Linked DNA regions of Caenorhabditis elegans. The protein of the gene in region 1 interacts with the protein of each later gene in a pairwise test. Each region holds a gene or a part of one and is shown in the gene's direction. Other genes may lie near its edges.

Region 1 (3,679 bases):
TACTTTGAATCAGCTCGCGAAGATTCGTTTCAGCCTCCACCAATCCTTTCTCCAAATAGTCTTTCTGCTTCTCGATAGCTTCAATTTTCTCTCTGAAAATGGGATTGGTTGTGTAAACTGTTTTGAATGGAAGAATGAAATTACTTTGACTGTTTAGCTTCAGCTTCATGTCTGGAAATTTCAGCTGGTTTGTCGGTCAGCAGGAACATACGCCCAACAGATCGATAGTACTTGAGGTTTTCATCCAAATCCACCAAGTTCTTTTTTGTGCTCTCTGAGATCCTCATTTTCTGAAAAATTTAGTTATTAGAAGCGTTACTTAAGAGAAAAAGTTATACTTTTATGTTTTTAAATATTAAAAATGCTGAGTGTTTTTTAATGGATGTGTGTAATGAAAAAATACCGATGTACAGCAAAAACTTTTTTGGCAAAGCTAGATTGTAGTTGTGACTAGCTGTGACTATTTGTGACTTAGGCACAAGCTAAGAGGTGAAACTCGCTAGTTTCTATGTTATCAAGTTATGATGTCATACATTTCTCATAATATTTAAAGTATATCAAATTTCAATATTTAATATTCAAAAATACTCACCTGATAGTTAACTTTCTTATTTTGTTCTCCTTGAACTATCCGCATTCGTGTTTCATTGGTTTTGAATTGCAAGTCGCGAAACGCTTTTGAGATCTCCTCGTCGGCCATTTCTGAAGTTGTAATATGAAAGTTGATTTAATAATTGAGACAAAAAAGAGTTGCGTTAAAAGAAATCACGAGAAAAGCAAAGAAAACAAATTGATTATCTTTGAAAAGTTGATTTGGAATAAACTTTTGAGAGATGGATTATTTATCCACAAATTTTAATTATTTTATGATTTATATATGTTAAAAAATGAGATACACCTTTTAAATGATAAAATAATAATGCTAGAAAACAGAATTTTAGATGTTGTAGTCATATTTTAAAATAAAAATGGAAAAATCGAGTAGAAATGTTTGCTGGCGCATTGCCAGAATCGAGTTAGATGTGCAGGTCATATAGCAAAGTGACGGGAGACGACTACGGTAGGGGCCGACCATGGCTCAGAGAACGTCCATGATATCTTTTGAGGCGGTTTGCAGGCCCGCCAGTGATAAATTATCAGTTATTCTACGAATTTCTTGAATTTTGAGTTTTATTGTAGATTTTTGAAGCATTATATTGCAAAATCATCTGTGATATTTTTGTTAGTGTCTCTTTTACATTTTTATACTTCCCGCATACTAATTTTTCGTGTGAATATAAATGTTTGGCAATAATTTCGGTAATTTCCAGGTAACCACCATGAGCGTGTTCAGCCAGCTTGCCGAATCATCGAAGCAGAACCCATTCAGCTTGCCGGTCAGGTCGGGTAACTGCGCCAGTGCTGTTTCAGCTCGTAAGTATTAATTGAATTTAAAAAAAAAACTTAATATATTAGCTAGCATAATATTGTCAGTAAAATAGTAAATTCACGTCCTACTTAGATTACTTTCTAGAATTTAGTTTTTTATTAGGAGGGGTAATGACAATCCGAATTTTTCTTTACCTGCATTCTCTGTTCCCACTTCCCGTGCAGCGCATGTGCACACGTAAATTGACGAGGGCTGCGAGAGGCACGGCGGAGATAGTATCTCGCGAAAAGAGAATCGAGACAGACTATTCCCTCGTTTTGCAAAACGTGGCAACCGCGTTTTAAAAAGACATAGAATCGAATATCTGTCTGCCGTTCGACGTCGTTCACACGTAAATTTCACGTGGATCATTTACTATCTTCCACGTTATTTCTATGCTACCACATGCCTAGGCGGGATTATAAGCATTGTTATAATCGCTTATCAATGACGTCCGAAACGGAAGAGAAGGCTATGCCATTCATAGCTCGAGCCAAATCTCCTCATCTCCAAACTGGAAGGGCTGGCATTATAGTGATATTATGCATGTGGATTATAATTTATTTTTGGGGTGTTACCCAACTAGTTGACGGGTTAATGGACTGGCTGGCGTACGGGTCCACTCAATATGTTGCACGGGTCGCGGTTGGTGTTGTCACCACTGTAGCTTCTTCATATGAAGGTTTATCGCTCGAACTATACAATTTAATGTTTTTTTGTTACAGCTGGACAAGTTGAATTCGGAAGTGGCAAGTACTACGCTTACTGTGCTCTCGGAGGAGTTCTTTCTTGTGGAATCACCCACACTGCCATCGTACCACTTGATCTTGTCAAGTGCAGAATTCAGGTATTACGAGAAAAATCTATTCAACTTAATTGTTTTCTTTTAGGTGAATCCAGAGAAGTACACCGGTATTGCTACTGGTTTCCGGACCACCATCGCCGAGGAAGGAGCTCGTGCTCTTGTAAAGGGATGGGCCCCAACCCTCCTTGGATACTCCGCACAAGGACTTGGAAAATTCGGATTCTACGAGATCTTCAAGAACGTCTACGCTGACATGCTCGGAGAAGAGAACGCATATCTCTACAGAACCTCTCTTTACCTCGCTGCTTCCGCCTCAGCTGAGTTCTTCGCTGATATCCTTCTCGCCCCAATGGAAGCCACCAAGGTCCGTATCCAAACCTCACCAGGAGCTCCACCAACTCTTCGTGGATGTGCACCAATGATCTACAAGGCCGAAGGACTCACCGGATTTTACAAGGGACTTCCACCACTCTGGATGAGACAGATTCCATACACCATGATGAAGTTCGCTTGCTTCGAGAAGACCGTTGAGGCCCTTTACCAATACGTTGTTCCAAAGCCAAGAGCAGAGTGCTCCAAGGCTGAACAACTTGTCGTCACGTTTGTTGCTGGATATATCGCCGGAGTTTTCTGCGCCATCGTATCTCACCCAGCCGACACTGTTGTTTCCAAGCTTAACCAAGACTCTCAAGCCACCGCCGGAGGAATCCTCAAGAAACTTGGTTTCGCCGGAGTCTGGAAGGGACTTGTGCCACGTATTATCATGATCGGAACCCTCACAGCTCTTCAATGGTTCATCTATGATTCTGTTAAAGTGAGTTTATATCGGTATTATTTTTCTTAATTAATAAAAAAAATTCAGGTCGCCCTCAACCTTCCACGCCCACCACCACCAGAGATGCCAGCTTCCCTCAAGGCCAAGCTTGCCGCTCAACAATAATTGCACTGACTAGATAATGATTTTGATTTCCTTCCTTAATCGATTGTTCTAGCCATTGTATTAATTTGAAATCCACCCAATTTGTCTCTTTTCTCTCGGTCCTACTCTCACTCTTAATTTTTTATAACTAATTAGTGCACCATGCTCGGTTTTAGTGTGATTATCATTTCCTTCATTTGTTTCAAGTTGTCCTTCAATCCCGATGTCTTCTTTTTTGAAAGATGAGTTCTCTGGCAGTGTTTTTATAAATCTCCTCCGAACAAAACCGATCGAAGAATATTGTATACGTTGGTGTTAATTTGTGTGTGTTCTCAAGAAAAGACCTCAATTGGGTAGTTCAATTAATACAGTCCACCCTCGCTCGTTTTACCGTTGAATTCCAATAAAAAAAATTGATAATAACGTGATTTTCAGAATTTATGGATAAAATTACTAAAAACGTGGTTTTAATCAGGACATTAGAAGCAAAAATTCTTCTCGTCCGGTTTGTTTCCTGAGATATTAATATTTTATACGGAAACTTAGT
Region 2 (2,797 bases), on another chromosome or scaffold:
TACCTGTTTCTGGACCTGCTCCGACATTCCCATTGCCCCCAGAAACCCGGACGTGACGACACCCGGGCTCACTGAATTAACACGAACCCCTTGCAAGATGAGATCAAGTGCCACGCAACGTGTGTATTGGTCTAGGGCGGCTTTGGAGGCTGCGTAATAGGGGGATGGAGCAAGCTGAAAATATCCGGTTTTAGTTTGGTAGAAATTTATGGAGCAACAAACCGCCTGTGGTCCTGCAGCTACACTGGAGACATTCACAATTTCACCTTTCGATTCGATCAGGTGATTTTTGGTTTTTTTCACCATCTCGATGACGGCTTCAAAATTGATTTGAAATGTTTTATGGTACAGCTCGGTAGATTGATCAGTGTTAAAGGTACCGTCGACCACATTGGCACCGGCGTTGTTCACCTGGAAGGTGAGAAAAAGTGTTTAAAAAAACTGCGGTCAGAGATGCGCAGTACATTTTTTAAGCACATGTACAAAATCGAGCAAAAATGACTACATAATATTTGACGCGCAACATTGGATCTCTAATGATTTAAACAGATAAGCATACCTTCACTTACCAGTACATCAATCCTCCCAAAAGCATCGAGCGCCGATTGCACAATCTCGTCTTGCCCATCAGAATCCGTCAAGTTCGCCACGACAACACACACATTCTCCGGATTCTTCATGACCTTCAGCATCTTTTTCTTGGTAGCCTCGAGTTTTCCAGCATCTCTACCAGTGATTGTTACCTGGGCTCCATATTTCGCAAAGAGCACCGCAGTGGCTCGACCAATTCCACTTGAAGATCCTGTCACGATGACAGACTTTCCAGAGAAGCGGTTCATAGAGAAAAGGTAAAGAATAAGTATGAAAGTGATATTTTTGAGCTGCTCTCCAACATCTTTTATAGTTTTGGAAAATGTGTCGGAGGGGGACAGCGTCTGTGACTAGAAGGTATAAAGCTGAATGTGTAAGCACATGCGTTGGACGTCTGTGTCTCTTTTTGTGCTTATCTCTCAGTGTGTCAAAAAATCTATGACCAAAAGGGTTCAGGTTACTCATAATTACTTAAAAATATATCAAACTTATATAAAATATAAAAATAGTGCAAGTTTTTAAAATTTTCCGCGAAAACTAGAAAACTTATTTTATTGTGAAAAAATTTGGGCGAATGTTCAAAGTTTCAGGGGTAAAAATTCCTGGGAATTAAAAAAAAGACGGGAAATTCGCATTTTCATTGCAGTTTTTTTTAAAGGGAAATTAAAATTTTCAGTCCATTTCTTTGGCGGGAATTCAAATCTTCATGTTCTGAGAAAAGTATTGGTGCAAAATTCACATTTTCTAAGAATAAAATATAAAAAATTGTTTTTTAAACTTTTTTTTTCGAATCTCGACATCTAGATAACTTTGAACAATTTCGGATAAATTTCTGAAAACTTCTAGATGTTTTTTAAAAAGTTCCCCTACTTTTGATCTTTCTTCAAAAAATGATTTTTTTTCAGTGACTCATAAACGTAGACTACCTAACTGCCTAACAACTCTTTTCAAAAGACTACAAGAGCAAACACAAAAGTTCACCAGTGGCACAAACAGATACTATGCCAATACTATGGGCACCTAGTATATAAATTGAGGAGACACTTTACCAAATCACTCCAAAATGAAGTCTTACCTTTCAATTATTGCTCTGTTCGCTGTAGTTTTTGCCGATTTCGACGGACCAATGTTCTTGAGATATCAGCCGAGAAATATTCAACAGTCTTATTTTGCAATTGCTAAGAACTATCAGCTAAGTCAGATGCAGAAGAACCAGCAGCTTCAGCAATGGGCTCAGATGAATAATCTTTCGGTGAGTTCTCTGAAATTTTGAATTTTTTAAATTTGAAAATAAAAATCTGAAATCACAATAATTTTCCAGAACGAATACTCCAGCTACACACAACAACGGAGCCAACAAGAGCAACAAGTCAGCCAGCAGACTTCTCAAATAATTTCCCAGTTATCAACAGTTCAAAACCAGCTTGAATCCATTCTGAACAACGATAATCAAACGGGAGCTCAGAAGCGACAGGCTATCCAGTCTCTTAGATACCAGTACCCTCAAGAAGTTTCAGTTTTGTTCCACATTCGGGAAGTTTCCATGAAAAGAATGGGAATCGATGATGACCATGATGACAGTTATGAATCATTTTAAGTTTTTGAAGTTTTTTTTTTCTAATGAATGGTTTTAACTTTAGAGGACACATAAATGGAATTAAAAGCGGTATTGTTTTTGTTGAAAAAATTTTAAAAACAGCCTCAGGATATTTCATGAAAGATGTAATGTGTCAAAAAAAAGTGAAATATCGGACCGCTTCCTAGGTTCCTATAATTGTTAAAATATCCAAAAATTATTGTAAAAATTTTCAGAAATTAAAAAAAATTAAATTATAGTCAAAAAAAAAGGTAAAAACTCAGTCTTCAAGTATTATAATTTTACAATTCATTTTTGAAAATCTTGGGAAAATTCCAAAAATTTTCGACATTCAGAAAATTGTTTGAACTTTTTTGAAAACTTTTTCACCAAAATAAACATCATTCTAAAGTCATCTAAATGTTTTTAATATTTTCTCAAATATTTGTGAAGTTATGTAGATTTTTTCCTTTAGTTTTTCCATTTTTCCATTAACAATTTGTTAAAAAACTGTGAAAAAATATCAATTAATTTTTTTTCTGAAAATTTTCAAAACTAGAAACTGAATTTTGTAAGACCTTCTTGAATTTTATAAAGTAACATTAAACAATTATATGTCAATCTTTGAGT
Region 3 (7,581 bases), on another chromosome or scaffold:
AAGATAAGCTGAGAGTCGGCTGGTATGCTAACTTGATTACCAGCATGCAATAGGATAAAAAATATTGTTCAGTTCTCCCTGTTCCTATTTCAATTTACGTCATATGCCAAAGACCAAAGGCCACGGGTGGTGTAGAGCAAGAGTCCGAGGGGAAATGCCCCGTTGTAATTGGGCGATAACATGAAGACACCCTCGATTTCATCGATAGGTCATTTTCACATTTTCACATTGTGATATTGATTTCTGAACGTTTAGTTTAGTTTATTATCATCACTTGTTTCTCTCGCATGCAAAAAGGTTTACAAACCCGCCTAGAAACCGCATAGGGAGGGGGAAGAGGCGAGAGAAAAGTTAGCATTCGTAGGTATTAAATGCATTTTCTAAAAAATAGGGTTTGAACAACAAATAATTGCTGTTTTTTGCTTGTACTTAAAATGGGCTCGAATTAGCATTCGAAATTCAAAAAAGACCAACAATTGATAGATTCACCAGTTTTGCTAAAGTTTCCAAGTTGCAGAGAATGAAAATTATATATATATTTTTTAATGGAATTATCATTTTTATTGATTGTTTGGTTCACATTATTTAGTTGATTCAAGTGTGTTAAAAGCCGATAAGTACTGAATTTCAATTATGTTTGGTAACCTATCAACTTTAAATGCACCCTTATTAACAAAAAAACGTGAGATAAATTATAAAAATATGCAATACAAATGATACTTTAATGCAGTTAATTTGCAACGCAGAAAAGTGTTTCCCAAATTTTAAACGCCCCCTCGAACGGAATAGCTTATTTATTTTTTGAGAAGTTCATTTGAGTACATTTCGAGTCTATACATGCAAACAATTCAAAACCGTATACATCAAAATTATTTCTATACATTTGTAGCTGCTTGTAACTCTATATGAATTAAACAAAAAAATCTCAAATCAAATTCGTCCGTTTCCGCGACATATTGTAACCGTTGATCTCCTATCAAAAGAGGAAATTCCCTTTATCTTTAAATTATAGTTTCCGGTCTCAGTACTTGCGCGACGACGTTTTTCATTCTGCTAATTATCACCATCAATCATCATATTTACTTTCCGACCATCTGTGTGATCAAAGTGATGAACTGAACTTGTCTTCAAATTTCAACAAATCAATTATCTGATTTTTCTCTTTTTCTCTTTTTCTTTTCTCTCTTTTCTCGTTCTCTCGCTCAACCAAGTTTGGGTATCAATTTTCTTTTCTTGCTCCTCCTCTCTGTTTTTTCCTTCTTCTCCACTTTTTCTTCCTTTTTTTGCTGCTCAATTCTGCTTTGATCTACTGGGAAGGCTGTGTGCCAAGATTTTCCAAAATGTTGTACACTGGCGGGTGTATCAGCATTCATTCGGTAACCGCTCATCTCGCTCTTTTCCGCGGCATCCCCCGTCAAAAGTCTGTTACCTTCCCCACCAAGTTTTCATCTCATTTCAAACGTGTGTTTTCTGCTATTTTTCTCGCATTTTTGTCTCTTTTGTTTGTTTAAAACAAGAAATGACTGAAAATTATGAACAATTATTCAGGTGACATTGTTTTTATGTCGGGTGGAAACGAAGAGGATCAGTTGGCACAATGCCAGGCCTATGTGCAACGACACAACATTCAGCAGCTTGTCAAAGAAGCAATTGGTGAGTTTTTGAAAATCTAGCAAAATAATAACACGAAAGTAAGAATACGATTTTTCCAGTTGTTCTGTGCATACACAAACCCGACAACCCGGTTCTCTTCTTGAAGGATCATTTTGAAAAACTCAACGAACAACGAGCACAGGTTAGTTGAGTTGCAGAGAATTTAGAAATTGAAAAAAAAAATATTTTCAACATAAAAGTGAGAAGAATGACAGAACCAGTTCGAAATTATGACCAGAAAAAGTATTCAAATTTGCTGACACTGAAAGAGTATTGACGTGGTACGCCAAAAAAGTTAATTGTTGCGTTTTGAAACGGTTCTTCTTATCGGAAAACGTAGTGTTGCATAAGCGTATTATAACGTTTTGAGTACAATTTGTGATGGGGGTTTTACAATTCTTCAGGATTTTTATTTAATTGTTCGTGTTTTCTGAACCATGAAACTCGGTTTCAGACTTTCAAATTTGAAATTCACATAGCTTTATAATTATATCATTGTTCTAGATCAGTGAAATTTGTTATTTTATTCTCATTCATAGTACCAAGTTTTTGAGGCATCGAAAATCTCGTTTGACTCGCTTCAAATATTTGAATATTTTATCCGGTTTTGTGGGAGCCAAGCGTCATGATTTTTTGTTTCGATCTTGTTTTTAATGAGATGCACTGCAAAAAAAAGCTTGAGAAAAAACTGGAAAATGCAAATTAGGTCAAACATCTTCCTGTGTCTTTTTCGTCATTCCTCCGCGTTTATGGCTCGAATCAATGAAAATGAAGCTTCACTTCGTTTTTTTTTTCGTCTTGTGTTGCTTCTTTTTTTCATAGAAAGCAAGCCTTGTGTATGTCGTTTTTCCGTCGGGGTCCTCTGGAGAAAGAGAAGAAAAAGAAGAAGAGGAAGAAGAAAAAGAGGCACTAGTTAGCTGGGAAAACGAAAGGATGAAAGAGAGCGGATAAGGCGTAACGAAAACGAAGAGAATTGAGAGAATGGGCCCTTTGAGACGAGTCCCAATGAGCCCTCCAGAGCTGTCCATCGAGCATCGAGCGCCCGCAGCCATTGGCTCAGCTGCCGAGCTCTTTTCCCTTTTTTTCGGGTCCGGTTTGTGAAGCGGAGAGAAAGTGACGAAGAATGAAGAAGGCCTCGGGGCAGATTTCTCTTGCTCTTCGTTGCTCTTCGGACGATCGCATTTTTCTTCTCCTTCTGCCGCTCCTTAATGCTCCATGCTTTTTGTTCTCCGTTGTTTTTTCAACACCCTCGCATTTTGTGTCTGGAATTTTTGTTTCGAAAATAATTGAAGTAGGTAGTATTTTCACAAAAATAACAAAAGTCAAAAGACTAGTCATAAATCTTTAGGAGGTCAGGTGAAAGAAAGGGAAGAGGAAACAGTAACAGTGACGACGAACCAAACATCATTGTCACGTTCTTTGAAGATGTGAAATTCTAGATTTAACCTTTTTTTTTCTCTGACACCTAATTTTTAAAATTCCAAAACATTTTGCTTTTTTTTCTGTCACAAATTTTAAACGCTTCAAACAAAAAACAACATTAGTCATAATCCAGGAAATATAAGGTATTACAAACTTTTTATGACGTCATCGTTACTTGCAACATTCTGAAAAGGTTCTCGAAACGATTATATATATATATATATATATATGATGAAAAACAACACAAAAAGTTCGGAGCTCTAGAATTTCAATTTGGGAACATTCAAAAAAACACAATAAAACTAAAACACTCGAGTCCACTTTTCACACTCCAATTTTTATGTCTTTTTTTGTACACATGTGTTTCAGTTTTAGACACAGCTTATCAAAATCGAATTGGGGCGGTTTTTTGGAATGTGGTCATTAAAAAAGTGTGTTTAAATTTCTATTGAAAAATTTGAACGTTTGTATTTTTTTTTGAAATTGTAAATAGAAATATTAATTTTGAAATGGAAAACTAAGTTTTGAAATTTAACATACTAAATTTGCCAATGCCATTCACTAAAGGACCATAAAGTGTGCGTACCTTCCATTTCCTGCGTCTCTCAACATATTTCTTTTGCATACTGTTCGGACGTTTATCGATCTTTTATGTTCTCTCTTCTTTCCAACCGCTTCCCCAGAAAAATAGTTTATTTTAAACACTCGTTTATGAAAATTTTTTGGCAAATGCTGATACACAATTTTTTTTTCATTTTTAAAGTTTTACAACTTTTATTTTCGAAAAACTAGGAAGTGCATACTCCGATATTTTCTATCTTCTCTCCGCCTCGTTTTCGTTATATTTGTCTGTCAAATTCAATAATCGAATAAAATTTGCCCCGAAGGCAGCTTCTATCCGGCCGAGTGTTTTTATGACCGCCTCAGAGATAGAGAACGATGCCAAGTTAAATGGAGAGAATGAAAAGAGTCACGCTTTTCTGATGCTAAATGACTTTATTGATTTTTGAGAGAAAAACTATTCGAATAAATAGCTCGTTTTTTACGAGGTTTTATTGAATATGTTCGAAAACTAGTAAAATGGGTTTTTTTTTCAAACGAATTGAAATATTAGTCATACCATTCTCTTTGTTTTTCTCCACGTAAAAAATGCCTCGAACGTTATCATTGTGTCATTTTCTATAAAATCAGCTGATTTTTATTTTCTGTACCACAGAAACTTTTATGAATTCTAAGAATAACGTGGCAGATTTTTAAGATAGGGAATTTGTCATTTATTGGATATTTCTCAATGTGTGCATAATACTCTCTGTGAGCACAATACACTCATCGTAAATTAACTTCGATGCGACAAATCAGAAATTAAATAGTTACTCTTAGAAATACTGAAATTGAATTTTTTTTTGTTGTTTCATAAAACAACATGAGTAAGAATAGAGGAACAATTCGAGACTATTTATTTTCTGTCTAAATGTTGCGGCTGCTATAGTAAATTGCCGGTTGCTTGAGACAAAAATGCATGAAGTCGTTGTGCCCTCCACCTACTAAATACAACTGGCAAAGCTCTTTCAGATATTGACATTCTTACTTTTTCCTCTTCCGTCCTTTCCTCTCCCTCTTTCTGTTTCGTTCATTTTGCGCTACCACAGCAAGAAAAACATTCACACGCCTTCAATTAGGTCTCATGTGGAAACCCGGTCCGATTTTGATTTTCGTCTTGTTTTTAGCCTTCTCATTCTACCTCCAACTACAACATACTACTCAATGTTTTGTCATAGTTGTTGTAGTTGAAAGTTCGACGCACACACAATTGCCTTATTTGCCTCCTGACGTGTTCCTTCATTTACAATAGTCATAGTGTTTGTTTTTTCAAATATTTATTTGACTGCTCACCACAACTCTGGTTTCCATGGATATGTTTTATTCCAAAACATCTGCTTCTTAGAAAATTGCCGTTACATTCCTCTTTTTTCACCTACATAGACTTTTTCTTATTCTTTTAACCAAGTTATTAATCAATATTGTCAGAGTATCACCACCAAGGAATGTGATGGGGCAGCAATTGAGCAACCGACGAAACTCGCAATCTGTGGGCGCCACAAAAAACGCAAAGACTCCAAAGCCTAAGGTGATAGTTTTTTGAGAGGATAATCACTTTTTTCTTATGGATTTTTGGATTTCATGCGTAGTTCGAATTAATTCTCTGATTAGAATGGCTTCTATGTTTTCAAACATCACATTTAATAAAATTTCTTGAAAAAATCAAGTTAGAAATTTGAACTGTTCAAAACCTGATCTTTTTAGGCAATTTTAAACGGATTCTGCAAACTTCTAGAAATAAAAAAAAACAAAAATAAAGGGAGACCTCAAAAATAAGAAATTGTTTTGCACAACAGAAACAAAAGTAACCAGGTGTCTGCTAGTATGATCGAATCTCAGTCACGACGGATGAATGATGAGCGGCGTGGAATGAAATGAAAAAAGGGGAAGCGCTGGAACCTTGATGGAGCACTAGCAAAATTGTAGGACGAAGAGACTTGCGAGAGCTACGAGTACGCATTTGAAGCACATTAGACGGCGCGGCAGCTCGCTCGGCGATAGATTGGCTCAGTGTGCACCGCACTTCATATTTCCTTGCGTTTTTCTTCTTGCTTCTTTCCATTGAAAAATTCTTCCAATCCATTTTCAATTCAGTGGTTCACACCTTAAAAATGGAGTTGAACATGTACCGGGTGAGTGAGCGAGTGGGTGTATTTACTTTCTGCTGTGTTGTTTTTATTGCGCAAATAGACAGGCGGAGACGGTTGCCCTGTTGCTAAACAGAAACAAGTAAGTTTGCGGCGTAACATAATTTACATTACCTGGTGGCCCACTTAATACGATTCCCGATTTACAATTTCCAACCTCAAGGTTAACGTTTTGTCGAAACAAAAAAAAAATAGCAGAGGGTCAGTAATTGACTGAACTGGTTCTGGTCATTTTATATTTTGATTTTTCATTCATTTTTTCCGTCGCTGAACTAACTGAAACAGGAAAATTCCAAAATGGTTTGTTATTTTGCACATCTTTTATTTTCAAACTTTCCTTATCAAATCTTAACATTTCAGGAAGGAGGAAATCCGGACGCTGCTGATGATGACGACATCATTGTGGAGCCACCAAAGAGATCAGGTGGACGCAGAACCGGAATCTCTGCCGAACCAATCAAGGAGGACGATACCGAGTACAAGAAGGTTGTGATTCCAAAGGATGATGCTACAAGAAGGTCGCTTGAGTCAGCCATGAGGAAGAACTTGCTCTTTGCTCATTTGGAGGTGAATAAATTCCCAAAAAAATTTCTAATAACATTAAATTTTTATTCAATTTTTTGGTTTTTAGGAGGATGAGCAAAAAACCATGTACGATGCCATGTTCCCAGTTGAGAAGTCTGCTGGAGAGACCATCATCGAACAGGGAGAAGAAGGAGATAACTTCTATGTTATTGATAAGGGAGTGAGTTGCTTCTCTCTAAGAGCTTATCCGTACTTTCATATTTAAGACCGTTGATGTCTACGTCAATCACGAGTACGTTCTCACCATCAACGAGGGTGGATCATTTGGAGAACTTGCTTTGATCTATGGAACTCCACGTGCTGCAACCGTCATTGCCAAGGTGGCAAAATGCCACTCAAATTCATTTTATATATTTTCTTCCAGACCGACGTGAAATTGTGGGCCATCGACCGTCTCACCTACCGTCGTATCTTGATGGGATCAGTAACAAAGAAGAGAAAGATGTATGACGAGTTCCTCTCCAAGGTTCAAATCTTGGGTAAGTAAATTGAAGAACCAGAGAAGAAAAATGAACTTAAGCCGAGACTCATCAATCATCTTTCAGCCGATCTCGACCAGTGGGAGCGCGCTAACGTGGCTGATGCTCTTGAGAGATGCGACTTCGAGCCAGGAACTCATGTCGTCGAGCAAGGACAACCCGGAGACGAATTCTTCATCATTCTCGAGGGAGAAGCCAATGTGTTGCAGAAGAGAAGCGACGACGCACCATTCGACGTTGTCGGACATCTTGGAATGTCGGACTATTTCGGTGAGCAATAATCAGAAAAAAAGAGAAAAATTGGAAAAAAAATGAACAAACATGGAAAGATCAAAAAACTAATTGTATTTGGCAATATGCGGGTGATTCAATAAATGCAAACATTTTTTTTATTGAAATATAACTCTAGACAAGATTTTTGTGACACTTCATATATCAATGTAGGCTTTTCATGAAATGCAGGCGCGGTTTCAGGGAATGACGTCGCTTTGCATTTTGGTGTTAAATCAAAACCCTGGTGTTTGCACCAGAGCCCGACACGTTTTGATTTTTGAACCGCACTAATCAGTAGGCGTGGGTCGCGACCCTTGTCGACGCCTGAATGAAAGCTTTATTTCAATGTCACAATTTCAGGAGAAATCGCTCTTCTTCTCGACCGCCCACGTGCCGCCACCGTTGTTGCCAAAACCCATCTC

What was found. The genes of interacting proteins can lie anywhere in the genome.
Region 2: the proteins of F01G4.6 (region 1) and srlf-35 interact in a two-hybrid assay, tested with the Caenorhabditis elegans proteins (one large-scale study listed by BioGRID).
Region 3: the proteins of F01G4.6 (region 1) and kin-2 interact in a two-hybrid assay, tested with the Caenorhabditis elegans proteins (one large-scale study listed by BioGRID).

What each region holds. Positions count from the first base shown.
Region 1 is NC_003282.8:11,147,136-11,150,814, reverse strand, and holds F01G4.6 (Phosphate carrier protein, mitochondrial), read left to right. Parts: upstream 1-1,613; 5' UTR 1,614-1,855; coding exon 1,856-2,090; intron 2,091-2,133; coding exon 2,134-2,255; intron 2,256-2,298; coding exon 2,299-3,027; intron 3,028-3,075; coding exon 3,076-3,153; downstream 3,154-3,679. Other genes in the region: pfd-1 (putative prefoldin subunit 1), read right to left, coding at 1-92, 145-290, 593-700; pigq-1 (PMT_2 domain-containing protein), read left to right, coding at 3,573-3,637. UniProt on the Caenorhabditis elegans protein: Transport of phosphate groups from the cytosol to the mitochondrial matrix.
Region 2 is NC_003283.11:502,385-505,181, forward strand, and holds srlf-35 (SXP/RAL-2 family protein Ani s 5-like cation-binding domain-containing protein), read left to right. Parts: upstream 1-1,643; 5' UTR 1,644-1,654; coding exon 1,655-1,843; intron 1,844-1,912; coding exon 1,913-2,188; 3' UTR 2,189-2,248; downstream 2,249-2,797. Other genes in the region: T01G6.10 (DeHydrogenases, Short chain), read right to left, coding at 4-174, 223-411, 570-839.
Region 3 is NC_003284.9:5,971,806-5,979,386, reverse strand, and holds the start of kin-2 (cAMP-dependent protein kinase regulatory subunit), read left to right. Parts: upstream 1-1,532; coding exon 1,533-1,653; intron 1,654-1,712; coding exon 1,713-1,795; intron 1,796-2,575; exon of another isoform or gene 2,576-2,714; intron 2,715-5,103; exon of another isoform or gene 5,104-5,125; coding exon of another isoform or gene 5,126-5,203; intron 5,204-5,475; exon of another isoform or gene 5,476-5,591; intron 5,592-5,718; exon of another isoform or gene 5,719-5,853; intron 5,854-6,182; coding exon 6,183-6,389; intron 6,390-6,453; coding exon 6,454-6,567; intron 6,568-6,613; coding exon 6,614-6,727; intron 6,728-6,771; coding exon 6,772-6,886; intron 6,887-6,952; coding exon 6,953-7,156; intron 7,157-7,519; coding exon 7,520-7,581. UniProt on the Caenorhabditis elegans protein: Controls the rhythmic contraction of enteric muscles probably by regulating G-protein coupled receptor aex-2-mediated calcium influx in GABAergic DVB neurons.